Linked DNA regions of Saccharomyces cerevisiae S288C. Changing the gene in region 2 together with the main gene of any one other region gives a genetic interaction. Each region holds a gene or a part of one and is shown on either strand. Other genes may lie near its edges.

Region 1 (17,224 bases), on a different chromosome or scaffold from region 2:
TCTGTAAACAGAAGAGAGTGTGCGCAATATTTTAGTTCTTAAATATGACATAGATTATCAAAAAACTTTGTATGTTTGCCAGATTTCAGTGAATCTGCAAGAGTATAAATTATAGGAATTTGGGTGAATTAAACCATTTATTATGTTTTATGTATCATGGAAAAAACAGAACCTTTATCAAATCATCTATGAAATTTTGACAGGTTAGCCATTTTCCTCATTTTATTGCTCTGCAATAGTAAATTATATAGATTTATGCAATGCTCTAGGTTCCGGCGGCTTTTCATTTAATGTGAACTCAAGACTATTATCATCCAAACACATTACAACATCCGTACATTTAGTTGGCTCCATTTTTTGAAAAAATACTTCCGAGTAAGATGCTGAAAGTAATCAAATTCCGTGAAAAAGGAACCGATTTGGTAAGGGCGGACCTGCCGGAAGAAAATCGCTCCCGCGTGTCTACTGGACTTTGCTTCTTTGCCAGGCGGGAGAATGAAGCCCACCGGCCTAGCTCTATGGGCGCAGACAGGGATGGTCTCGATTTGCTTTCTCACTGCAATGGAAATTTCTAACATTAGAGCTTCAACGGCTAGCATAAAACAACTACTAACGTTTTCAGTGCTATATTCGAAAGAGCAAACAAAGAGTCCTCAAGAACTACTAATAGATTAAAATGGCTAGATACGGTGCTACTTCCACTAACCCTGCTAAATCCGCTTCTGCTCGTGGTTCCTACTTGCGTGTTTCTTTCAAGAACACCAGAGAAACTGCTCAAGCTATTAACGGTTGGGAATTGACCAAGGCTCAAAAATACTTGGAACAAGTTTTGGACCACCAAAGAGCTATTCCTTTCAGAAGATTTAACTCTTCCATCGGTAGAACTGCTCAAGGTAAGGAATTTGGTGTCACCAAGGCTAGATGGCCAGCTAAGTCTGTTAAGTTCGTTCAAGGTTTGTTGCAAAACGCCGCTGCCAACGCTGAAGTATGTCAAGAATATTATATGTTTAGTACCAGATGAAACAAGAATGAGTTGAAATTCAAAATGCGCGGAAAATCCATTATGATCAAGGGAAATTGAATATGATAAATGAATTATTCAGAAAGTCACAATTACCAGATTGGAATGAACTGTCAAGCTGAAAAGCAACTAAGGATTACCATTACGTGTTTATGATTTTGTTAGAAAAATATTGAAAACTTGATATTTCTTTCCGCTAGTTTCATCTTTTTCAATTACTTAACCGGATCAAAATTTTTTTTACTAACAACATAACTATTTTTATTACAGGCTAAAGGTTTGGATGCTACTAAATTGTACGTTTCTCATATCCAAGTTAACCAAGCTCCAAAGCAAAGAAGAAGAACTTACAGAGCTCACGGTAGAATCAACAAGTACGAATCTTCTCCATCCCACATTGAATTAGTTGTCACTGAAAAGGAAGAAGCTGTCGCCAAGGCTGCTGAAAAGAAGGTCGTTAGATTGACTTCTAGACAAAGAGGTAGAATCGCCGCCCAAAAGCGTATTGCTGCTTAAATAGAAGATGAAAAATAATGATAATATAATTCTCTGTTAATTTTAATCTTTTATCTATGTAATTTTATCTCCCCGTCATATCACATAACTCTAAAATAAGTTTTTTATTAATATTATTATATTATATCGGATAATCCTACGTTCAAAGTATTGAACATAGTTTTATAATGAACAAAGGTATAAGAAATGCTCATAAACTGAAAAAATCCCGTAGATAAGATAATAAGAAATGCTACTGTCTATATCAATATGTCAATCGTTACTCATTCCCTCTCTAGTACGGAACGTGTGCGTTCTTCATACCGAGCTATTAGAATTTAGTGAATAAAGGCATCTATCGATTTATGCCATGAACTGAACCAACGCCTGCAGCTACTTTTTCTGCTCCCCCAAGTCCTCCGTTGAGATTTGAAGAAGACTTTGCCGATTGTACTATACCAACCTCAGGTGTCATGTAGCCGCTAATATTAATCACATACATGCTCATCATGAATACGAGTCCGTGTAAACCGATACAGTAAAAGAGGAATACCATCCTTGTCATTTTATTTTGTAAAATGACTTTTGCAAAACTGGAAAATAACTTCTCTAAAGCTGATAATTTCTTGTTTTTGTAGTGGTTTAATTCGTTCTGTCTAAAATTTGCCATTGGATGCAACGATTCATCATACACCCTTGAGTATTGGGATTCCACGTCAATACGCTCTGTACTTTGATTAACGGGAGCGTTGTTATTATTATAGGATTGCAGATACCTAATCCGTTCATAAAGCTTCGTATTGTCGCCTTTTAGCTTCGAAATTTCTAGTTTAAGCTTACCCTTTTCTGAGTTTCCTTGTCTTAGTTGCTTTTCCAGATCCATATTTCTCGAACGAAATCTGTCTCTTTGTTTAGTAACTATTGGTAAAATGGTTGATTGGTTTCCAGAAAGTTCCCCATCTTCTGGAATACCAATAATAGAACTCGTTGGGGACATTTTATGGGACGTACGATTGTTCATTTGTCTTGTTACACCAGACATCATACTTGCAGTCTCGTTGAAGTGAGGACTGACGTTCTCTACTTTTTCTAGGTCCGTCTCTAATTTTTCATTTGCTTCTTTGAGAGTAGCTATTTGCTGCTTCAATTGGTCCACAGATTTTTTCAATTCGTTTCGTTCTTCCTCTTGAGCCGTACTTTTTGAGCGGTATTCCGCCAAAGTAGCCTGGAGCTTCTTATTTGCAGATAGTAAGGAACTTTCGAAAGTATTATCATTCTTGTCTTCAGAGCGAATGTCATTATCAGAATCATCTTCGTTTACCCCAAACTCAATTTTTTTCAATGCAGAAAGTTCTTCTTTTATCTTATTGTAATCAGAATAATTGTTTAGTTTTCTTCTAACAGTTTCTAGCTCCGACTTGTAAGATTCCGATTCCGCCACAACGCTATTTAATTGTTCTTTTAACTCATTTATTGCATGTGATGTTGATTTCCGTTCCTGCTCATAGGATGCACTCAACAATGCATTTTCGCTTTCCAGCTGGTTAAGTTTTAGTTCCTTTGCATGTAACTCAGTTTCTTTTTCTGCTTCACTAGTTGCCTTTGCAAGAGCACCACTTAGTTCCTCATTTCTTTTCTCTAACTGATATATTCTAGCCTGCGTAGTTTCCAACTCCTGTGTTACTAGATTATATTCAGCAATCCTTGTAGATACTTCTTTTTGATTGTTTTCTTGGTCACCATCTTCGTTTCCATTACCTTCTATATCTATATTTTTAGATATTTTGGCCTCTAGTGCCTTGTTTTGCTCCTGTACATTTGTTAATTGTTTCAATAGATCTGCTTCTCTCTCTTTCCAATTTCTTCCTTTTTCCTCCCAGGTAGAATTGATTTCTTGAGTTTTCGCAGTCAGTCTTTTTGCCAATGTTTTTGCAGAGCTTTGCTCTAGGTCCAGTAACCTTGATTTCAAAGTCTCATAATCTGCATATTTGGCTAGCTTATCTTCTAGGTAGCTTATTTTTTCCTTAAGTTCCTTCGAGTCATCAATTTTGCCCAATTTTTCCAACGAACTTTGTAGTAGCGGCTGTGGATCAGGAGCCTCTGAAAGCTTTTCGTATACGTCAAAAAGAACCTTTTCAGAGAATTTTGATCTCTGTGTCAAATTATCAATTTCACGTTGGTACTGCTTAATTATTTTATTCACATTGTTCAATTTTTCCTCAGGTTCGAGTTTTTTAAATTTTTTAGTCTCAGTGGCTAATGACTTTCTTGAATTCAAGGACAGGGTTTCTTTATCCTTAATCTCTATAACATCAGCATCCAATTCTCTTTGAAGATTCGTTAAATCTGCCTTGGCCCAAATATCCAATGCATGAGAATATACTGACGTATCCATTGTCAAATTATTTTTGACGAGCTAATATAACAGAGTGAAGAAATGAAGCAATTACGCACAATTTATTGTACTGTGTTCATTCAAAACTCTTAAACATATTATTTTGGCATTTTCATGAGCCCCAAGATAATATCATTTGTTACGTAACATTCTCTATGACAGTAATGGTTTTCTTGAATGACACAAGTAACCACTACAACTTGGTGTGCAGAATAGTGATAGAGCGAACTGAAATTGTGGGTACCTAAATATTCTTTGATTATGAGCGGAGATATGATGCTCTTTCATGTTTTCCTGGCCTGAATTTTGGTATGCTCCTAAAAAAATGGCCAATTAAGTGATCGTGCCAATTCTCTCGTTTATTAAAGACTGTTCTGCTAATCGACTTTTGGAGCAAAAGCTTACTTTTGTTTCGAGCTTAAAAAATTTTTCTTGTGTGGAACTTGTATCAATTTCTCCTTATATTTATATATAATACAGACGTTATTGCTTTTCTATAGAAAAAAATAGAAACCAAAGTAGCAAAAAAGCAGTAAATATTAAAGTAAAGTTTACACACAATTCGTCATTTTTACCGCTAAGCCACATATTAGCTGATGAGCTCATCGTTACATTATTTGAGCCACAATTCACTAAAAAGCAGTATTTCAATCCTAGTCCTGTAAAAATAAAATACTCCTAGTCCAGTAAATATAATGCGACACTCTTGTGTTAAGGGCCTGCAGTATTTTCTGAACTATGTTCGTTTGAGCTTGAATTCTCTTCTTTTGAAGCTGGAGAGTAGCAAAGACTTTCCCCTTCAAAATTGGAGCTTGCAGAATTATGAAGCTTTTCTGAATAATCGAGAGTAACTTTTGAGAATCCTCCAAGTGATATTTCGTCGTCAAAGCTCTGTCCTTGCGTGACGTAAGGGATGTGCCTACTTTCTTTTAGGTCTATTTCATCAAGAATATCATCTGTTTCTTTATCAGCAAACAAATATTTTTTGCTTTTATTTTGAGATTTTCTAGGATCATCTGGAATCCTATAGTCGACATAGAAATGCGCTTGTGATATTGGTGTACCTACACAGGGAGAATAGTTTTCTGTACACGTGGAGATATAGTTCTCAGAGTCTGTAGAAAATGGGTTACGGCTCTCTTTGCGTGAGGACAGCTTGTTTAGCAATATGCCTACTCGTTTTTCCTTATTCTTATCAATGAATCTTTTCCACATGTCAAGTACAAATCCTAGTTTGATGGAACGCAGGAATTTAGAGTACATATGCAAAGCATCAGAACCTAAGCCAAAGATTAGAAATACTAGGTAAGACATCAAAACATAAAGCCATATATTATAAATTGGTCTGCCAGGGTCAAATTTAATAATGGTATTCCAGATGGTGCTGGAATGGGTATTTTTAAAAGTATAGTGTCCTTCTACCTGCTGTAAATCTTGAACAAAGGTGTAAACAGAAAAAGGGAACATGACTAAAATAATAATGAAACAGAATATCAACAGCCTTGCGAACCTTGTCAGGTTTAAACCTGAATTGGTACAGTGTAAAATATCCCTAACGTCCTTGCGTTTTTTATAAAACACGAACAGTACTAAGGTGGCATAAACAGCGCCCACAAATGACCATATAAGCATCCACATGGTATACAAAACAGTGGTAATCCATGTCGGAGACAATAAGTTTTGGCAACCGTTGTAACGAGCGATACCATATCTAAATACTTGTAACAGATATGAAAATCCCATGACCATGACAGGTGTGAACAAGCTAATCACAAGGTCCTTGACGATTTTCGTCCATGATGAAAGATCCGGTAAAACACTATCTGCCTTCAAAATTGTATGCAAGTTGTAAATGATGTTGGTAACGGCACATGATATGCCAATATTCGCACCAACCTGCAACTTGATGACAATATCACACCAACCTTTACCATCCCATCTCGTGAGGAAATCGTCGTCACTCCATATTGCCGCATCTACAATACACGTTAAATTCATTGTAAGAAGCCATGTTATCAAAATGATTGCTGGAATATTCTTGGTATGTGAATGCCATGCTAAAGGGGGAGCTAATAGTATCACAGCTAGCAAACAAAGCCCTATTATTGCTGACTTGTATGACATGAAAATTTTGATAGTATTTTGCCTTTCCTACACAAATTTAATTGCCTCTAAAGTTAAAAAGCAATAAAATAGAATATGTGAATACTGCACAAAATGAATACTTGGGAATTCAGAAATTATTCTTACCTTAAGCATCCACTCATATACATATATATATATATATATGTCTTTTCAAAAGACTTCTGCCCAAATTGTGGAGAGAACTCTGCCTCTCCGTGATAACGGCCAAATGAAACGCATCCAATGATGCAATTATTGACAAAGTTTCAAAGTTTCCGCCATTATTCCTTCATTTACACATTGATAGTCGAGAAGTTTCCTAATTAGTGTCACAATGACAGAGAAAATTGTACCAGCGCTTCTAACGAAAATTAGCACCCATACCCAGAGTTCATAAATCTGGCAATGTGGTACAATAATATAGGATTGGTAACATTTCAATTGTAAAATGTTTAACGTTTAGAGAAAAGGGGAGCCAGAACGCTTCTGGTGGTGTAAATACGGAGAAGTCACCTTAAATAGTTTTGTTCTGATAATTGCATTTTTTTGGAAAGATTTGGCTGCTTAAAAGATTCAAGCAATCAAGAGAAACATTACAAGGCCTGCTTGGCCGGTCTACTAGGCTGAAATAATAAGTTTCTGATTATGGTTATCACGGTAAATGATTACGAAAGGGTAAAGCAACGAATGGTTGTTTTATGGTAAGAATACTTTGGCGAATCAACAAATTGAAGTTGCGCAATGTGCGATTCGCTTATGTATCAAAAAAAACTAAAAAATGAATAGAGAAAATCATATATATAAAAGAAAAAAATATCGTACACCTCTTAGGTAACTTGGAATATATTAAACATGTAAAGAAGGAGAAAACATTAACCTGCATTACAATAATGAACAAGAGATGAAAAAATCCGTAAAGCTTCTGAATCGCGAAGCTCACTATCTATTCCATTATCATCATATAACATCATTGCACTCTTTATACTATTTTCAACAAAATTAACGCAGTTTTCCAAACTAGTACTTAGCTTGCCAATCTTGCCACAGGAAAAGATTTTTCTGGTCTTCTGTTTCAACACGTACTTCCTTTTTCCGACAAAATTCTCATCATAGATATTCTGGTTGCTGTTATTGTTGTTATTGCCAGTAAACTCTCTTTTCAATGCGACATCCCTAATGTCCCTTGAACGTAACGATACTAATAGACTTCTTGTGTAATCCGCCTTTAACAGGTCAATCTTCATAGAATTTGTTATTCTGCTCTCTGATTCTTGACCAGCAGGACATGCTTGCAACTGGAAAAAATTGTTAAAATGGGTTAAATACATTGTATATTTCGGCAATAGTTCCAGAGGTTTATTCATCAAGCCATCATCAATATCAGAATCAGTAGTCAAAATATCCGCATAAGAAGAGTTACCTGGAAAAATTTCGTAAGTGGAATTAAGGTCAGCCAAAGAGGGCTGACATATTCTTTCAAAAGCCTCATCCAAAAGATCATCCTGAGAGATCCTTTGGCAATCTCTTTTCAACTCAACGTTCTTTAGTGGAAATTTATATGATATATTCTTAACCAATGGGGGTGCGTGAGACACATCTCCAACATTAGGAGAGCCAGGTGTGCCCATCCAAGGATACTCATCATATTCGCTGATAGACGGTGATTGTTGCGGAGTGGTTAGTGATAACCTGGAGGTTGCTTGCTGCAAAGAAGACGAACTTGAAGTCCTTTGCATATTTCCAGCAGTTGTTTGCAGCCTCTCCCACGACTCGTTGTGTTTTAAAGAAGGGCTTGGTTGAAAGAACTGAGAAATTGTTGGCCTTTTGTTGAACCAAGAACCGTACGAACCAGGTTGGCTTGAGATAGAAGACGATAGATAATGCAATGAACTACTCCCACTTTTGAAGGAAGATGGCTGAATAACTTCCGCTAAAGACTCACTAGAAGACACAGATACTGAAGTGTTCGAGTTCCTCCGATTGGGTATTTGCCATCCTTTCCTCAAAGAATGGAAATTGGGTGATCCAATGCTGTTAGAGCTCACATTACTGTTGTTGTAATTATGATTGCTATTATTTTCTGTGCGACTCAAAAGGTTGTCTGTTGAAGTCAGTGTGCTCAATTCCGTCTCAGGCTTATCGACAAAATTATTGTTAGACTTATTTCTTGATACAGCGGACGAATCCGATCTTATGTTTTCCCGCCGTATCGTTATTTGTCCCTTGTACTTTGGCTCCAATAAAGCCGATAAGATGAACAGTAACTTGTTAGCAACCACCATGTTTCCTGACAGGATTACGATCTTGGATGTCTTTAGTTCTCTTATAGTGTGCCTGTAATCAGATATAATCATTGCCATTAGGAGAGGAAGGAAGCCTAGTTTCGGTCCATCTTTGATTTCAATCCAATTAAATATACTTTTGAACCAAACGTGAACGAATTCTTTAAATGTCTCAGGGTAAAGGAAAAGCCTAGGAATCTCAGACATAGAACGTAAACCTGGTATGACTCTTTTTTGTAAAGTTTGCACCATTATTTCAATTTCCTTGGGATAATGCGTCCTGATGTCAATATTTGACAATTTTATGACTGAATTATTGCTGTAATTGCCAGTATTTTCTTGCATAATACGGTTTTTAGTCAAGAAACCAATGAGCATTTTTTGAGTCTGGGTCAACCATGATGAAATGGAAGACCACGACTCTGCAACTACGGGCAACAATATCCTCGGTATGCATAAGCTAATTGCGATGCGGTTGTATTGGTGTGTGTAATAGAAAATTCTAGTTATGAGTACCAAATCCGAGTTAGGAATCGTCCTTATCTTGTCGCACTGCGTCAAATCGGAAGATCTTACGGGAGAACCAAATATATATTCCTTCAATTCACTCGGCCGTATCTGCTCCATCGAATTTGAAATCTTTGACGTAGTGTAATCGAAGATATCACGGTAGTTGTTCCTACACGCCATTTGACCCGCTTCCTCAATGATCAAAATCCTGAATGCATACGTTTTTTCGTTAATAGACGTGATTTTATCAGTACCAAGACCTCCGTTGTTTTGTAACGTATCGATAGGACGACTATAAGGAATATCCCTCGAGCCGAAAAGCTTCAGTTTTAAGTCATCCGATATATGATCTAAAATGGGCGGAGAAGTCGTTGATAGCATTTCCGAAGGCTTTTCCACATTGACTGCAGTATCTAAAAGAGCTCCAGCAGCGGTCTTAGTAGTTCCTGTGCTTGCCGCTTTGCAGTATACAGGGACATTGGGAACTACGGAGGAAAAATCGGAATGCTCTGAGCTCTTCTCAAAACCAGACGAACTCGTCTTATTTCTCAGTAAATTACCCAACATATAAACTCTCCCTCTTCACCTTCTCTACAAGGCCACACACAAGACAGTTTTAACAGGCAAATGGTACTGGAGGCTCTCACCAATGGGGTTTAAGACGCTCCAAACACACGCTCTCCTTTTTTTCTTTATATATCGGTAGCAACGAAAGCTAGTCGCAGAACGTTACACACTAAAGCAGATCAATCAATCAATCCTGAGAACCTGCTTCGTTCAAACCATCCACTAGAAGAAACACGCACGTGTACCCAAAAATAGAGACAAACAAACAGACAAAAATAACAATGATTCCTACCGACTAAAGTAAAACAACACTCACGTAATAAAAAATCCTAGATACAACTCACTTGTATTCCTCTCTTCTTTGACCATCACTAAAGCTTCTCTCTTACTATATTCCTCAAATAAAAAAAAGTTGCAATGATTACTTACCAATGTGCCATAAACTCCGTGCACCACACTAGCCTTCGATTTGACACATCTCTAAGCTGAAACTGAGAATACTGTTGTAAAACAGGTATTGGCTGCTTCATAGTACACCCAATTGCCCACAACCCAAGTTAATCATAAGCTCTTGTTGTCGATGAATTGCTCAAAATGTGGCCATTCTTTCAATTTTGCACCTCTAAAACTGCTCCGTGGGTTGTGACAACAACCTTAAGGGTAATGGACTTTTTTAGAAAGACAAATGAGATGATTTCACCTACTGGTATATCATTTATTTATACACGACCGTTTTGACATTTCAGAGTTGCACGTTGGTATATCCTAATATTCTCACAAGCATCACAGTGAAGAAACGCAAGAAAATGGAAAAAATTCCCAGGTGGTTGTTGTTTTCTCTTATATCGTCGGTGCTGTGCATACTTGGGGCCCTGTGTGTGCCGTTGTTATCGGTTGCCTTCGATAGCAAGCGCAATAGCCAATCTAAGTTGGTCAACTATGGTCTTTCTCTAAGTGCCGGATCTATGATCACTACTTCACTATACATGCTATTGCCTCGGATCGAAAAATCAAACCGGTTCAAGGTTTTTCCTGGATTGCTTTTGGGTATTTGCCTCAGTTTTTTCTTAAACTACCTAGTCCACGCTTTCGCCAGCGAATCGTTGGTACACTGTGCTGATAGCGGTGACCATGCTACAGGTTCACATATACACTCCAAATCACATTCGCATTCGCACTCACACTCACATGCGGATTCGCATTCGAATTTTAGCAACGATCATGATTTAGAAAATGCTCCCTCTGAGCATGGTTATGCAACATCTTCTTCCAGTGTTTCTGAAAATGACCCGTTGATTACAAAGGATAGCGATAGACCCCAAATGAAAAAGAAAATGTCCCTAATTGACTTATTAACCAGAAGGAAATCAGAAGGCGAGTGTTGTGACCTAAACAAGTGCACTCCGCTCTTGCAATCAGAGCAGCCAGAATATATTGCATGTGTCCCACCAGTGATAAAGTCTTCTCAAAGTGAAAGAAACGTGCCACATGGATGCGAGGGATCAGAAGATAATGGACAATCCGATGACAAGGATCATCGTGGCCTTGTATGCGTGGAAAATAATATCGGTTACGATCTTGAAAACCTATCGTTGTACCGTAAGAATTTTCTTTCGAGCCGCCATCATCATTCCTCTGAATCGCCCGAAAATTATGGTTCCAACCAGTTGTCGCACTCTTTTTCGTCACCTTTGGGAAATGATGTAACTGAGAATCCGGCCGCATTGGCAGACACACAATACCATCCCGAAAATGGTTCATTATACCCCCACCATCATCACTTAGAGACCCCTTTTTCCAAATTACTGTCTATTGGTATGCAAACTTGTCTAGTCCTTGCATTACACAAATTTCCCGAAGGGTTTATTATTTTTTACACTAACAGGTCAGATTCGTCAAAGTCCTTGGGATTTTCCATTTTTTTAAGTTTGACGATCCATAATTTTGTCGAAGGATTTGCAATGACGTTACCATTCTACACTGTTTTCGAATCTAAATGGGTTGCCATTTTGATTACTGCCGTTCTCGGTGGTGGATCTCAACCATTAGGTGCATTGATAGGTTATTTCATCTTTAAAGGTAGTACTCCAAGGGATCACGAACCCAACATGGATTTTTTACTGAGCGTTACTGCAGGGTTCCTATTAGTAATTGGTTTACAAATGTTCCAAACTGGTATCGGATTTAGCGATGGACATCATCATCATCAAGGAGAAGGTGATGAAGAAATGAAACAGTCCCATAGCTCAGGCACAACTTGCTTGAAATGGTGCTGCACTGGCGTTTTGCTAATTCTAGCGAGTGCCCTTTTCACTTGATAAATTAAAACTACGTATATTCTTTCTATATAAGTCTTTTCCCATTAAATAACGGTGTATAATCACGATCATATATCATATATCATATCTACGATCATCGGCAAGATCAAATTCTTGTTCTGCTGTATGGTGCTCATCACCATAATCGGTTATCACGTTTTCCTCATTTTCCTCAAAGGGATTTTCTGTACTACTTTTAGGATGCACCTTGATGAAACCTTCTTCAGAATTATTTTCTACAGACTCTTTCACTGTGGTTCCCGAGTTTAGAGTATGTTCAACATTGCTATCCTCTAGTTCAAAAACAGTTTCTTCCGCATCACTGGGAATTGGAGCCTTGATGTCATCTGCCAAGGGTAATCTAAAATTATACTTCCCCCATTTGAAATAAAGACCAGTGATAACTAAAATGCAGAATACGTACACCATTAAAGCATAATTCATTGTTTTGAAAGTTACAGGCACTTGCGTTGGTAGGCAAACAGAAACCATAGATAACAAGAGCCACACAATAGAAACAATGTTGATGAACCAACCAAACTTATACCTGATTTTTACTGGCGCGCTTCGGATAGCTCTTCTTCTCGTAAACAGCACCAAGACTAACGGAATGAAAGTCGCAGAACAAAGACAGAGCACTGCAGCGCCTATAAAAGCATTAAATGCGGCCGTTGAAATCAAAGCTAGCAGACCTAAAAAGTATGATATTATCATACTCAATACAACAGAATTCTTGGGGACTTTTGACTGAGAATCCGGTTCGACGTAGGTCCATTTATCGTAGTATGGTATAGCCTGGTCACGACTAAAACTATATACCGCACGAGAAGATGTAGTAATCGAGCCAATTCCGGAAAACAGTAAGTTTCCTAAAATTAGGAGCACTAAAAAAAAAGACAAGACCACCGAATCAGTCGATTTTGTAAAAATGTTCACTATTGGTAGAACCTTATGATTGGTAAAAAGCAAATCATTATCTGGCAGGATTAACATTATTGGTATAAGAAAAATGACTCCAGAGAACGCGGATAACAATACCGCATTCGACATACCACGTGGAATATCCTTCTCAGGAACTTTGACTTCGTCAGCTAAAGCAGGTAACATACTGAAACCTTGTAACGTGAAATTAGACTGTTGGAATCCAATGATGAAGGAAAGAAATGCGCTTTTATACCCTGATAGATTATTATCAAAGTGAAATAGCGCGTACTTCAAAGATCGAAATTTACCTTTGTGGAATACTAGTAGAAGAATATCAATAAATATAATGGCATATATGATCCAATAAACACAGACTTTGTTTATTGTTTCAATAAATCTTGCAAATTTCAAATTCACGAGGCCTACAACAGTCACAACTAAGTAAAATACAATGACTGTGTAAAAAATCAAGTGTGCCTCGGATATTAGGTTGGAGTTCGTCATCAGAATCAAAGAAATGGTAAGTTGAGCGCCTGCAAAAGTAATACTGGTACTCATAGTCCAATTCCCTATGAGCATTAACCAGCCAGTGTACCACGAACATACTAATTTCAATTTCTCCGGGGCCAACATGGCACTCCCAACATGCAGTTCCATCGGAAATTTTGAAACAATCTCACCAAGAGAAAGCGACGAAAACCATATACACACTCCACTGATTAAAAAACCTAGCATTATAGTTAACGGACCACCATTAATTAGCCCAATGGCCATACTAGTGCACATTCCTAAAACGGGACTCATTAGTCCTAAACCGAGACCGACAATAGAACCTCTTGACAATAACGATTTATCCAACACCTGATCATAATTGAAATGCTCGGCCTCCTCGTTCTCTTGACTGTCATCTTCATGAACAATGGTGTGCAAGTTATCAAACAAACCATTCGGATCGAAATGAACGATATTCTCCCTTATATTATCAGCCAGTAGCGTATACTCTGGCATTTTTCATTTATTTGACTTATTTTTATTTATTTTATTGTACAATGGCAAACAAATACACGGACTGGTATGTTCTTCGTCAAATTGATGATCTGTTCTTTTGGCTTATCCTTATGGGATGATTAATGATTGTTAAAGCCTCATTGCGGAAATTTTAATGCCGGAAAGGCCTGAAAAATTTCAAAGTGGCAGAAAACAAGGCTTTGGGGCATTACTTGCCAACGGCTGACGATTGCTAGCTGCTTTTACAGAAGCGATACACAATAGCTCCTAACATAGCAAAATGGAAGGTGACGATTTATTCGATGAGTTTGGAAATTTGATCGGAGTTGATCCTTTTGACTCGGATGAAGAAGAAAGTGTGCTGGATGAGCAAGAACAATATCAAACCAATACGTTTGAGGGGAGCGGCAACAACAATGAGATTGAGAGCAGACAACTTACCTCGTTAGGAAGTAAAAAGGAACTTGGAATTTCCTTAGAGCACCCTTATGGTAAGGAAGTGGAAGTATTAATGGAAACTAAGAACACACAGTCACCACAGACTCCACTGGTAGAGCCGGTTACAGAACGAACAAAGTTGCAAGAGCATACAATTTTTACACAATTAAAAAAAAACATTCCGAAGACTAGATATAATCGAGACTATATGTTATCAATGGCTAACATTCCGGAGAGGATAATAAATGTTGGTGTCATTGGACCTCTTCACTCAGGTAAGACCTCTTTGATGGATCTCCTAGTAATCGACTCACACAAACGCATACCAGATATGTCTAAGAATGTAGAACTTGGATGGAAACCGCTAAGATACCTGGATAATTTGAAACAAGAGATTGACCGGGGTCTTTCCATTAAACTTAATGGTTCCACTCTACTCTGCACCGATTTAGAATCCAAGTCTAGAATGATAAACTTTTTGGATGCACCAGGGCATGTTAATTTTATGGATGAAACGGCAGTCGCACTTGCAGCAAGTGATTTGGTTTTAATCGTGATAGATGTTGTAGAAGGTGTTACATTTGTGGTAGAGCAATTGATAAAACAAAGTATTAAAAATAATGTAGCAATGTGTTTTGTTATAAATAAACTCGACAGATTGATTCTAGATTTAAAGTTGCCACCAATGGACGCATACTTGAAGTTAAATCATATAATTGCAAATATCAATTCCTTTACGAAGGGAAACGTGTTTTCACCAATAGACAATAACATAATATTTGCGTCTACAAAGCTGGGCTTCACATTCACTATCAAGGAATTTGTTTCTTATTATTACGCCCACTCCATACCTTCTTCTAAGATAGACGACTTTACCACAAGGCTATGGGGTAGCGTATATTACCATAAAGGTAATTTCAGGACAAAACCATTTGAAAATGTAGAGAAGTACCCGACTTTCGTTGAATTTATCCTCATCCCGCTTTATAAAATATTTTCCTACGCTTTATCTATGGAGAAAGATAAATTAAAGAATTTGTTAAGGTCTAACTTTAGAGTTAATTTAAGTCAAGAGGCCCTCCAGTACGATCCGCAACCTTTTTTAAAACACGTTCTACAGTTAATATTTAGGCAACAAACCGGTCTTGTAGATGCGATAACCAGATGTTATCAACCATTTGAATTATTCGACAATAAGACAGCTCATCTTTCAATTCCAGGAAAATCTACACCAGAAGGCACTCTTTGGGCTCATGTACTGAAAACTGTGGATTACGGTGGAGCAGAGTGGTCCCTTGTACGGATATACTCTGGACTTTTGAAGAGAGGGGATACAGTACGTATACTTGATACATCACAATCTGAATCTCGCCAAAAAAGACAGTTGCATGATATCTCAAAGACGGAAACCTCCAACGAAGATGAAGATGAAGATGACGAAACGCCTTCATGTGAGGTCGAAGAAATTGGCTTATTAGGTGGCAGATATGTCTATCCGGTTCATGAAGCACACAAAGGACAGATAGTATTAATAAAAGGTATTTCAAGTGCATATATTAAATCCGCGACGTTGTACTCTGTAAAGAGTAAGGAGGACATGAAACAGCTAAAATTTTTCAAACCTTTAGATTATATTACCGAGGCAGTTTTCAAAATTGTTCTTCAACCTTTACTGCCAAGGGAATTACCCAAGTTATTGGATGCCCTGAACAAAATTTCGAAATACTACCCAGGCGTTATTATTAAAGTTGAGGAATCTGGAGAACATGTAATACTAGGAAATGGAGAGCTGTATATGGACTGTTTGTTGTATGATCTAAGAGCGAGTTATGCAAAGATAGAAATTAAAATATCTGATCCTTTAACTGTTTTTTCTGAAAGTTGCTCAAATGAATCGTTCGCTTCAATACCTGTAAGTAATTCGATATCTCGCCTTGGTGAGGAAAATTTACCAGGTCTGTCGATTAGTGTAGCCGCTGAACCAATGGACTCTAAAATGATTCAGGATTTGAGCAGGAACACATTGGGAAAGGGTCAAAACTGCTTGGATATTGACGGAATAATGGACAACCCAAGGAAACTATCCAAAATATTGAGAACCGAGTATGGGTGGGATTCGTTGGCATCAAGAAACGTTTGGTCTTTTTATAATGGCAACGTGTTGATTAATGACACTTTGCCAGATGAAATCAGTCCTGAATTATTATCCAAATATAAGGAACAAATAATACAAGGATTTTACTGGGCTGTAAAAGAGGGGCCTTTGGCAGAAGAACCAATTTATGGTGTACAGTATAAATTGTTATCGATCTCAGTACCTTCCGACGTAAACATTGACGTTATGAAAAGTCAAATTATTCCGCTAATGAAAAAAGCCTGTTACGTTGGCTTACTGACAGCAATCCCAATTTTATTGGAACCCATCTATGAAGTTGACATCACGGTCCACGCCCCCTTGCTGCCAATAGTAGAGGAACTTATGAAGAAGAGACGTGGAAGCAGGATATACAAAACAATAAAAGTGGCAGGGACACCATTGTTGGAGGTTCGTGGACAAGTTCCGGTTATTGAATCTGCAGGATTCGAGACAGATTTGAGATTATCTACGAATGGTCTTGGTATGTGTCAGCTGTACTTTTGGCACAAGATATGGAGGAAGGTTCCTGGTGATGTTTTGGATAAAGATGCGTTTATTCCAAAATTGAAACCCGCACCTATCAACAGTTTAAGTCGTGATTTCGTGATGAAAACAAGAAGGCGGAAGGGTATTTCTACAGGTGGATTTATGTCAAATGATGGTCCTACGCTTGAAAAGTATATAAGCGCTGAATTATACGCTCAATTAAGAGAAAATGGCTTAGTACCGTGAAAATCTTGGCGCATAAGAATTAAGCAATATGTCCACAATATTTTTATTCAGCAGAATTTACATATGACTTCGTATTTAGTGATATAACTACTCATCGGGACTGAAAATTTTTTATTTCTGCCTAAATACAGATGAGATGAGCTTTATAGAATTTTACGCTGTTAAAAAGTTAAACGGTAACAAAGCACAGTTAGTTGAACAACGGTATATAGAGAATGGCTAAAGGTTTCAAGTTGAAGGAGTTGCTTTCGCATCAAAAGGAAATTGAAAAAG
Region 2 (10,004 bases):
GCTGTACATTATCCATCAAATGCAGGAATTGCACAGTATTGATATTCCTAAGGATCTGGACGAACAGCCTATGAGGGTACGGTTTTTCAAGATGGATTTCGGTTCCATGACTTTGGTACTTGCTGACCTGAATAACGTTTATACAATATCGGTCAATCCCAATGGTAACTTCGGCAATTTGAGAAAGTTGGAGATGCCTGAACAAATATGCGCAGTTGAAATAGATGAAAAAACTTCTCAAAGGGAACAAAACTGGCAATTTGCTGGTGATGACGGCTGCTATATCAGTCTTTTGACGACACAGAACACTTTATACATTATCAATATAAGAGATCTTTCTTCGTCAGGCTTAAAAGTTCAATGTAAGATAAGTTTTGATGAGCAGGTATACGTATCGCAGGTGACAAATTTAATAGTTGTGGTAGCATTGCCAAATGTTCTTCAAATATTGAACGCGATGACAGGCGAGTTAATAAAGACAGTGTTGAAAACCGAGAAGTTTCCCGAATTTTTGAAGGTATCGCAGGATAAAATCATTATGGGAAGCGGTAACGTTTTGAATTATTTAAAGTTTGTTTCAAGTGATTCAAAGAAACATCACCATTCCACTAAAGGTAAAAACACAGTAAGCAATAAGTGGAATGAAACTTTGAACACGGAGCTGCAATATTATGATGAAGATGAAGACCTTAGAAGAAAAAGACAGTCAGAAATATCAAGATTGATCGATGCGTATGGTGGAGACCTTGAACTTTCAGGCGACACCGATGAAGAAAACGACATTCAGTTGAGAATTGCACTCTTAGAATCACAGGAGGCGCAAGCACGGAATCAAGCTGAAGCGGGGGAGCCTGTCGGAGATGATGAAGATGAGCAGTTAAGAAGGGCGCTGGAGGAATCTCAACTGATATATGAGACGCAAACGAATAGCTCTGCGAATCATGGTAATAATACGAATGATGAGATAGATGAAGATGATGAAGAGTTTCTCAGAGCCATCAGACAATCAAGAGTGGAGGACGAAAGGAGAAGACATCTTAGAAATCATACTACAGGTCGACGAAATGGGCCCTTGAGCGACGATAATTTTGCTACATATGGTGCAGCAGAGTCATCCGAACGAACCTCAACTGAGAACACTATCGGTAGTTCTGTTGGCGTTGATGCTAGTAATAATGTTGATGAAGACTTACAATTGGCCATTGCGTTGTCATTGAGTGAAATCAATTGAAAGTATGTACATTTGGAAGAGCATATGTTAAATATTTTATTTATAGATTTTTCGTTGTGAAATATTATTTTTTTTTTTTTGAAAAAAATGTCGGACTTTATTCCTCCTAATTATTAATAAAATACGAATATATATCTAAATATAATTAATGCTTATTTACATGAAAAATCATCAATCGTAAACAGTTGATTAAAAAACAAAAACTTTATCGGTTCCATTACCTTTGTGAAACCCATTACTCCACCCCAACTCCTTTGCATAATTCAAAACCATTTCATTCATTTTAGGTGGTCCGCAAATCAATAAACGATGGTCCTCCGCTTGTTTAGGTAGGTATCTTTTCATTTCCTCTAGAGTTACGTACCCAACATCACCGTTCCATTTACCGTTTGGCTTATGAATTACATAATGAACTTTAAAATGCGGGTACTCCTTAGCCATGTGGTCTAGTTGCGATTTCATGAGAATGTCATCCTCTGTTTCGTTTGCGTATATCAAAGAAATGTGTGTTAGGTCTTCTGGAGAGGGTATGATTTCTTGCAGCACTTGCAATACAGGGGTTATACCAGACCCCCCTGCGATTATACCCAACTCTGTTGCGGTGTCCTGATCATATTCCAGCTCACCTAACGGCCCTTTAAATTCAACATACTGGCGAATTTTTAATTTATCAAAATACTTAGAAACGACACCATGTTTATACGTCTTGACTACTAATTCCAAGTGACCCTCCGTATTAGGAACATTTACTGGCGTATAGTACCTCACTAATCGCTCACCATTTATTGTAACCCTTACTGCCAGGTGGTATCCCATGGGAATATGCAATCTTTCAAATGGGTACTTTAACTTGAAGCAGTACAGACTAGTATTACGAGAAATGCGGGTCTTCTTGGATAGCGGTAGCGCGACCCATTTATTTCTGTAAAGAGATTTATCAGTTCCAATCGAAATAAACGCTGTGGCATAAAGTACTACGAATTGCAGCAATGAAACGACCACGATTCTACCATTTTGCGTTTTCCAAAAGTAAAGAGGTGTAACCACACAATTCAGAAGCAATCCAGTACAAAATGGATAAAACGGATTTGTCGAAACAAAAGATATGCATGTCTCTACTATCGACATTGTTGCGAATGGTTGCTTTTTACAAAGAAAAAATGTGATATGAGTTAATACTAAACATACTTAAATCCTAGAGAGAAAAAAAGTACTGCAATATATACAGCACTCAAAATACATTTCTATCTGATTTCTAAAAACTTCCCTGTAGATGGATCTACGTTACGCCATGCCGATGTTTCGTTTTTGCTTATACGACCAATCATTACCGCGTTCGGCTTTTCCAAAAAAAAAAAACTATAGTAAGGATAATGAAAAGAAAAAAGGGTCCCATGATTACTAAAAAGCTCTAATTCAAAAAAAAAGTCTTTGATAGGCAGCTAGGAATAGTTATTAGAATGTACATGAACAGTCATCACACTGCTATATATATATATATATATATTCTTTTTTAGTAAAATATAGAGATTATTGAGACAAAAAGAGACTAGTCGGACAACTCACTAGGATCTATAATACCATTTATGATAGCCCACTGTTTGTTTGCCAAGAATACATTATCGGGATCTTGCTCCTTTCTTATTTTCCGGAACTTTTTCAAATCCTCGCCATACCATTCTTCAACCTTCAATGCCATCCCCCTCATTTCAAAGTCATCGTAATCAGTATCCTTTTTCACTGGTCCAGCAGCTAGAGTGGTTGAGCCTAGGAAGTTCTTGGCCCAATGTGGCTTACCTCCCGCTACCATCATAGTATTTTCAAAAAGGGTAAACCATTTATGAATTGGAGTATTACAGCCAAACGGCCTATAAATGGTAGCATTTATGTACAACGTCAACTGACTGTTGGTAACATTTTCCAACGGAGCAAATCTGCAATGGGATGGTGTGTTATCCAGGAATGGGCGGCACACATTGCCATAAACGGGACCGGGACTGGTGTTTGTTCTCTTGCTAGTATCCAAGGGTTCAGAAGGTAATGTAGTATTTGAGCAACGGACTTCCATAGGCACGTGGACATAAAATTCTTTGTTTATGGCAGCCTGCGCAATAGAATGATCCAATGAACGTAAGACTTCCAAACCATTATCCATAGGGCACCCCCATTCATCAACAAATTGTGAAAACAAACAGTCCATATTAAATCCGCTGATAGAATCGGTAACATTAACATCACCAGTAGAGCTCTTCTCCAATTTCCCGTATTGCCTGTTGAAAACGAACTTTTCCACAAATGGGGTTAATGGCGCATAGATTTTGGTAGAGATCCATAATAGAGTTTCGTAGAAAAATCTACCCAGCTTGGTACCCCACCATGACTTGGCTGGACCATTTTGGGCATCTGTAGTTTTGTTACCCCTCCATAGAACACATTTTCTAGTATAAGGGTACCACCAAACTCTGATAAATTCAGATGAAGTCCATAGGGTATCCCATTGCTTCAAAAGGTTTTCAAAAGTAATCACTTCTTGAGTGGATTTAATATTGAAGCCGGGAACAACCCTGATAGTAGCAGAGACAATGATACCAATTTTTCCAACTGAAAGTAAAGCAGCTTTAAAGACTTCTGGATCGTTTTCAGCATCCAAGAACTTCAATTCGCCCTTACCATTAACAATAGTCAAGTTTACGTATTGAGAAGAAATCAAACCGTGATAAGGTGAGGAACCATGACTACCAGTAGAGATTATGCCAGCAACACTTTGTTCTGAGATAGAGCCTAAATTTTGGATAGAGTAACCTTTCGCACCCAAAAATTCATTCAATTGGTAAAGCCTCATACCGGCATCAACTGTGACATCGGCATAATGTAACTCAGGATATTCAACAAACTTTTGTACTTTGTCCAATCTGTCTAAGTTAACAAGCCATTCATCAGTAACGCACATGTTACTAGGAGAATGGCCCGAACCAACAGTAACTAAGCTTTTTTCAGCTAGCCTGGCACTCTTTACTAACTCGACAACCTCATCAATTGAACTTGGTTGGAAGTAACGTTCTGGTTTTGCAGAATAAATTCCGGCCCAGTTTTTGAACACATAGTTCTTTCTAAATGGGATAGTAGACATGGGGTGAAAAACCTGATAATATCGGTAACTTTAATTTTACGGGTTCTTGTTTTACCTTCTAATGAATTTTAAGTTTTGAAAAGCAGAAAATCAGATATTGAAACTATAGATCTGCTTACCTTGAAGTTCACTATTTTTGGAATTCTCCTTGCTAATAGTTACTTCTACTCTTGCTTTGTCCTGGATATCAATGGAAGATGTCCTCATTTCCATTTTTTTTTTCAATTCGACGGCAAGGCGGGAGAAAAGGAACTAGGGATACAAAAATGCAATTACTAATGAAATCCGTGAAATAATCATGGAAATGGGTGATGTAAGAATCTGATGAAACAAGTACAAATGTCTTTGGCCCATCAACTACGATGAGACTTACTAAGCTTTCATCAAATGCAGGTTAGAGAAGGAGAATGGTTTTTTTTTTTATTTTTTGTACATAGATATTAGAGAAATATAATAAGTAGATTATAGATAAGATATCACCAAAGAGATATAACAGTAGGGGGAATTTTTTTTTTTACAATATACTTGAAATATAGAAAGGATAAGGAGGTTGGGGGCGAGAGTGAACCTTAAAATTCCTCTTCCTCAGCGTATGAGTCGGCACCCACTTCGATGTAATCTCTTTCTAAAGCAGCCAAATCTTCTCTAGCTTCGGTGAATTCACCTTCTTCCATACCTTCACCGACATACCAGTGGACGAAAGCACGTTTGGCATACATTAAATCGAATTTTCTATCGATTCTCTTCCAAGCCTCAGCAATGGATGTGGTATTTGACAACATACAGACGGCCCTATCCACAGTGGCCAATTGTGAGTTTGGTGTGGCAGTTGGAGGTTCGTAGCAAATACCGATCTTGAAACCAGTTGGACACCAATCAACCAATTGGACGGTCTTCTTGTTTTTCACCTGCTCGACAGCTCTTTGAACATCTCTTGTTACCACATCACCCCTGTATAACAGACAAGTAGCCATGTATTTACCATCTCTTGGATCACACTTGACCATCTGGTTACCAGGTTCAAAACAAGCGTTTGTAATTTCTGACACAGAGTTGGACTCATGGAATGCCTTTGATTTGGATAAGACTGGAGAATATGAAACTAAGGGGAAATGAATTCTTGGATATGGAACCAAATTGGTTTGAAATTCGTTCAAATCTACATTTAATGAACCGTCGAATCTCAATGATGCTGTAACAGATGATACCACTTGAGCAATTAGGTTGTTTAAGTTTGCAAAGCTTGGTCTTGGGATATCCAAGTTTCTTTTGCACATGTCGTAAATAGCCTCATTATCGACCATGAAAGTACAATCTGCATGTTCCAATGTAGTATGTGTAGTTAAAACTGTGTTGTAAGGCTCAACCACAGAAGTAGACACTTGTGGAGCAGGGTATACGGCAAATTCCAGCTTGGATTTCTTACCGTATTCAGCGGATAGTTCTTCCAACAGTAAGGACCCTAGACCGGAACCAGTACCACCACCAAGAGAATGGGTAAACAAGAACCCTTGTAACCCATCACATTGGTCTGCCAGTTTTCTAATCCTATCCAGAACATCGCCCAAAATTTCTCTACCAACGGTGTAATGGCCTCTTGCATAATTATTAGCCGCGTCCTCCTTACCACTGATCAACTGTTCTGGATGGAACAAGTCCTTGTAAGGACCGTTACGGACTTCGTCAATAACGTTGGGCTCTAAATCCACGTAAATAGCCCTTGGAACGAACTTACCGTAGCCGGTTTCATGGAAAAACGTGGAGAAACCCTCTTCTCCTCCCTTCGGCTTTGAAAGGCCATCTTCTAGATGTCCATCCGGCTTAATACCGTGCTCAAGGGAATATAATTCCCAACAGGCATTACCAATCTGACAACCAGCTTGACCGACTGTAAAGAGAAATCAAAAAAAAAAAAATTTTGCGTTGAAGTTAGTAATGAAAGATGAAACGCCAAAATGAACTAACAAAAAAAAGATCTAGCCTGGACGGGCAAATCGAACATACCATTAATACTAATAACTTCTCTCATTGTTTGTTTGCAGTTGTAAGTTTACAGATCTTGGGTGGCGAGAACTGTTGTAGACGGATATACTGAATTGGGTAAAACGATATAGTAGATGTTTTTGTTTTGTTTTGTTTTGTTTTGTAGTTTAGTTTTTCCCTTGGCTCGAGGCGTTTTCGCGTGGCATAACCCGGCCGGAAACTACGGTGATATTATCGTCTGGCACATATATATATATATATATGTAAACTATACTTATATTAATAGTTTCCGATCGTCTTATTACTCACTTACTATCAATGGAAGCACTATTTCATTACTTAAAAAATACTTTCTATTGCAGGATCTGAAACAGTCAGTTATAATGGAAAAAGTATGCAATTGTGTTTTCTTAAAGAAGGATACAGATATTTATATATGTTAGTTCCTCTGGAATATATCGCTAGATGCATTAAACATGAAGAAATTTGCCGTATGAATTATTCCTGTATGTACACCAAATGTGTCATGATCTTCTTGTTTCTTCAATGTGGCGCTGGCATTCGAGAGTGATGATGCTTGGTGTGAGCACTTGAAATGTCTCCTCTTTAAGAAAGACAATCCTATCCTTTCATGATCAAGGGCTTCTAAGGCGTCTCTCAATGCCAATTTCAAATCGGTAGGGTCTGACACGGTCTGGTAGCATTTATTAATGCAGTGGGTAAGGAAGAGGGAGGGCTTGATAATGTGGTTGGCTGAAATCGGATGGCAGTGCCCGCCATTGATAGACTCAAATTTTACTGTCTTCGTACAGTGGTTGAAGGTCAGTATGAGTTTTGACTCGCAGATCAAATGTATTTTGTACTTTTCAGGAGTCCTTGTTCTTTGTATACGCTTATTGCTGAGTTGCTCGTGAACATTCATCTCACAAACGAGTTCGTACTTGTTCTTATTGATTTTCTTTGTCCTGTAGATGAAACTAATGAATGAATATACTCTAACGAACTGCTCAAACGACAGGGTACATAGGAACTCGAAGGAGGATTTTGGATGCTTGAAAATAAAGTCCCTGAAGTTTAGAATGTTGTTGATATTTTCGATCTCGTCCTTGTTTACTGGATGGTGATATTCCTGTGCGCATGCAATTAGTTGTTTACCAGACCTAACTTTGCTCAATTGTGCCTTTGTTTTTGCACAACCAATGTAGTTTGGAATCTTCCTAATTAATTCCTCGGTACTATCTCGCTCAACATCACGGCCGCCGCCATTCCCGATCACAATTTTGGGCAGGATAGGATGTGAAACTCTGTCCTCTACTGTGCTGGGCACAGGCGACGGTGGTAGTTTCAAATCTGGCAGCTTTATGGCGACCGGGGCCAAAGGGGGTGAGGGAGCCGTTGCTTCAAACTGAGGTCTTGGGGAGGTCATAGGTGTGATAATAGGCATCATTGCGGCATGATTTCGTACAGCGACAGGGATAGTGACAACCTGTTGTGACCAATGGACGGGCGTATTTGTGCTCATAGAAGGCAATATGGGTGTTGGCAAGCACCTGGGGCTGGAGTACCCAAATGTCAGCGAATGTTGTTGATCTAACGCCAATATGATTGGGGGCAGAACGGGCGATAGGCACTGCCTGCCTGGAGGTGTTCTGGGAACGTGCGCCTGGTTGTTGTTATATACATGTAAATAGTCCATTGAGTCTTTACCAGGTTCTATCTTAACTAAAGAACTACTTCTACACAAGACTTAAGGCACCTTCATACGAAAACCCTCTCCACGATGGCGTTCAATCTTTCGTCTTTATATACATATGTTACTTTATATATTTATATATTTACGTATACACCCGAATGTATTTATATATTTGTATGCATATGCCCACACGTATATGCTCAAGAGTAAATTCTCCGACCCGTTTAAAAGCAAGCACACGTCAAGGTTTGCTGTCTCCACTCGATTCGTACCGTTCCTGCGGTACTCCTAGGCAAGCAGTTAGGCCCTGCCATTCACCCACTCAACAGTTTTAACAGTATACGACTGCAAGGCCATCGTTTACCGGCAGGGTCTATTGTTCTGCGCGTTCCTTATTAGGCACCGCCAAAAAAACCCTTGAAATTTTCGTTTAGGTGCCGGCTCGTTAAGGGCCCTTTTGCTCTCGCATAACGCAGGCACAGGTCACGAACTGCGGTGCGGATACCCTCGATTTAAAGACAGGCAGCAGGTGAAGATAATACCATGCTCAACATGGACGCCAAGGATAGACGTGTAAGTTTAAGTTTCTCTCGTTGTATCGACTGACCTCTTTAATAGCAGTCCTTACCAAGTTGAAAAACCACATCTTCGTGTTACCCGACTACCTGTGCGATGCCGTCTGGAAAATTCGCAATGAAAATTTGATGAAAAAATTGCCTCTCAATAGTGAAAGAAGTATAGCAGGGCCACGCAGAGAGTAAGGGCTATAGGCGAAGTTTTCCTGACATTTTCTTCTTCTATAGGACATTATAATATGGTTTCAGCGCAAGTGGCTACCGAGCTAGGACAGCCTATACCACTGGACACTCAACATGCGGTATCTGTATGTTTCCCGACATGGAAATCTGTAATTTCGTATGTGGAGAAAGACCCCAAAGTTTTAGGGTGTTTAAAGTCTGGCTACCCCAGGTTTTGGATCCACCCCTCGATTCAAAAGCTGCGTGATATTTTAATAGAAAAGTATGCTAAAGAAAACGAAACGTGCTTTTGCTTCCCCTCTTATAGAGTTGCCAAACGGTGCAGAGAGTATGTAAGAAGGAAGTGCGCGCATCGCAATGGCAAAGTAAGGATATTACAGTTAGCCACGGCGAAACCTATCAACGAGGAGCAGAAGACGTGGAAAAGAGAGTGTAAGATTGCGGTAGTGTTTGTAGATGGGGCATACGAGAATATATTAAAACAGTATTGGCAATACACCGGAGAGATCATCTCAAGCAGACTAGCTGAATATGTTTTGCATGAACTTTTCATGGTAGAAAAGAAATCCAGCCCTGCAGAGGAAAAGGAATACATAGAGATGCGGTATGGCAGGAATCTGAATTTTGCATTTGCCGATCGAGCCAAGGAATTGATTAAGAAGAGGATCGCTACAAAGGTTATAGATAAAGATGAGCACGATGAGGAGGAAAACTACCATTTCTTAGCAGGTAACCAAGATGAACAGGACTTCCAGGACACGTTTCTGGATTCATCCCTCAATGAGGCTAACCACGGAGAAGATCATGACGGCGGGATTAGCGGTGAAGTAGACAGTCAAGAAGAACCGCATAATGGCCTTGTTTCCACTATACCCCCGGAGCCCATCGAAATGAGCACGATAGAGGAAGAGCAATCCGTAGAGGAAGATGCCGGGAGGTGTGCATTAAGGGTTTGCCCTGAGAGAGACGTTTTTTTGTTTCCGAGCGGCATGGCGTCGATATTCACTGCGCATAGATTGCTGTTGCAATGGGACTCACTGCGTTTGAATAGATCCAGAAATGGAAGCGACGTCACCTCGTCACCTCCGAATAAGAAGACCGTGATTTTTGGGTTCCCTTATGCGGATACATTACATGTCTTGCAAGAGTTTAATGAAACGTATTTCTTGGGAGAAGGAGATGAGTCTTCAATGAAAGAACTAACAAAAA

What was found.
Region 1: mutations in AIM33 (region 2) and LST4 together harm fitness more than expected from each alone (negative genetic interaction), as found in Saccharomyces cerevisiae (2 studies listed by BioGRID).

What each region holds. Positions count from the first base shown.
Region 1 is NC_001143.9:108,593-125,816, forward strand, and holds LST4 (Lst4p), read right to left. Parts: upstream 9,395-17,224; coding exon 6,908-9,394; downstream 1-6,907. Other genes in the region: ribose phosphate diphosphokinase subunit PRS1, read left to right, coding at 1-7; 60S ribosomal protein uL22 RPL17A, read left to right, coding at 677-985, 1,292-1,537; CCAAT displacement transcription factor COY1, read right to left, coding at 1,872-3,911; STE3 (Ste3p), read right to left, coding at 4,623-6,035; Zn(2+) transporter ZRT3, read left to right, coding at 10,201-11,712; TPO5 (Tpo5p), read right to left, coding at 11,788-13,644; U5 snRNP GTPase SNU114, read left to right, coding at 13,925-16,951; EBP2 (Ebp2p), read left to right, coding at 17,167-17,224. UniProt on the Saccharomyces cerevisiae protein: Involved in extracellular amino acid uptake. Required for the trafficking of the GAP1 nitrogen-regulated general amino acid permease from the Golgi to the plasma membrane.
Region 2 is NC_001145.3:93,011-103,014, forward strand, and holds AIM33 (cytochrome-b5 reductase), read right to left. Parts: upstream 2,360-10,004; coding exon 1,421-2,359; downstream 1-1,420. Other genes in the region: SCF ubiquitin ligase complex subunit UFO1, read left to right, coding at 1-1,231; ALO1 (D-arabinono-1,4-lactone oxidase), read right to left, coding at 2,781-4,361; alpha-tubulin TUB1, read right to left, coding at 4,931-6,249, 6,366-6,390; YML083C (uncharacterized protein), read right to left, coding at 6,784-8,040; YML082W (putative cystathionine gamma-synthase), read left to right, coding at 8,852-10,004.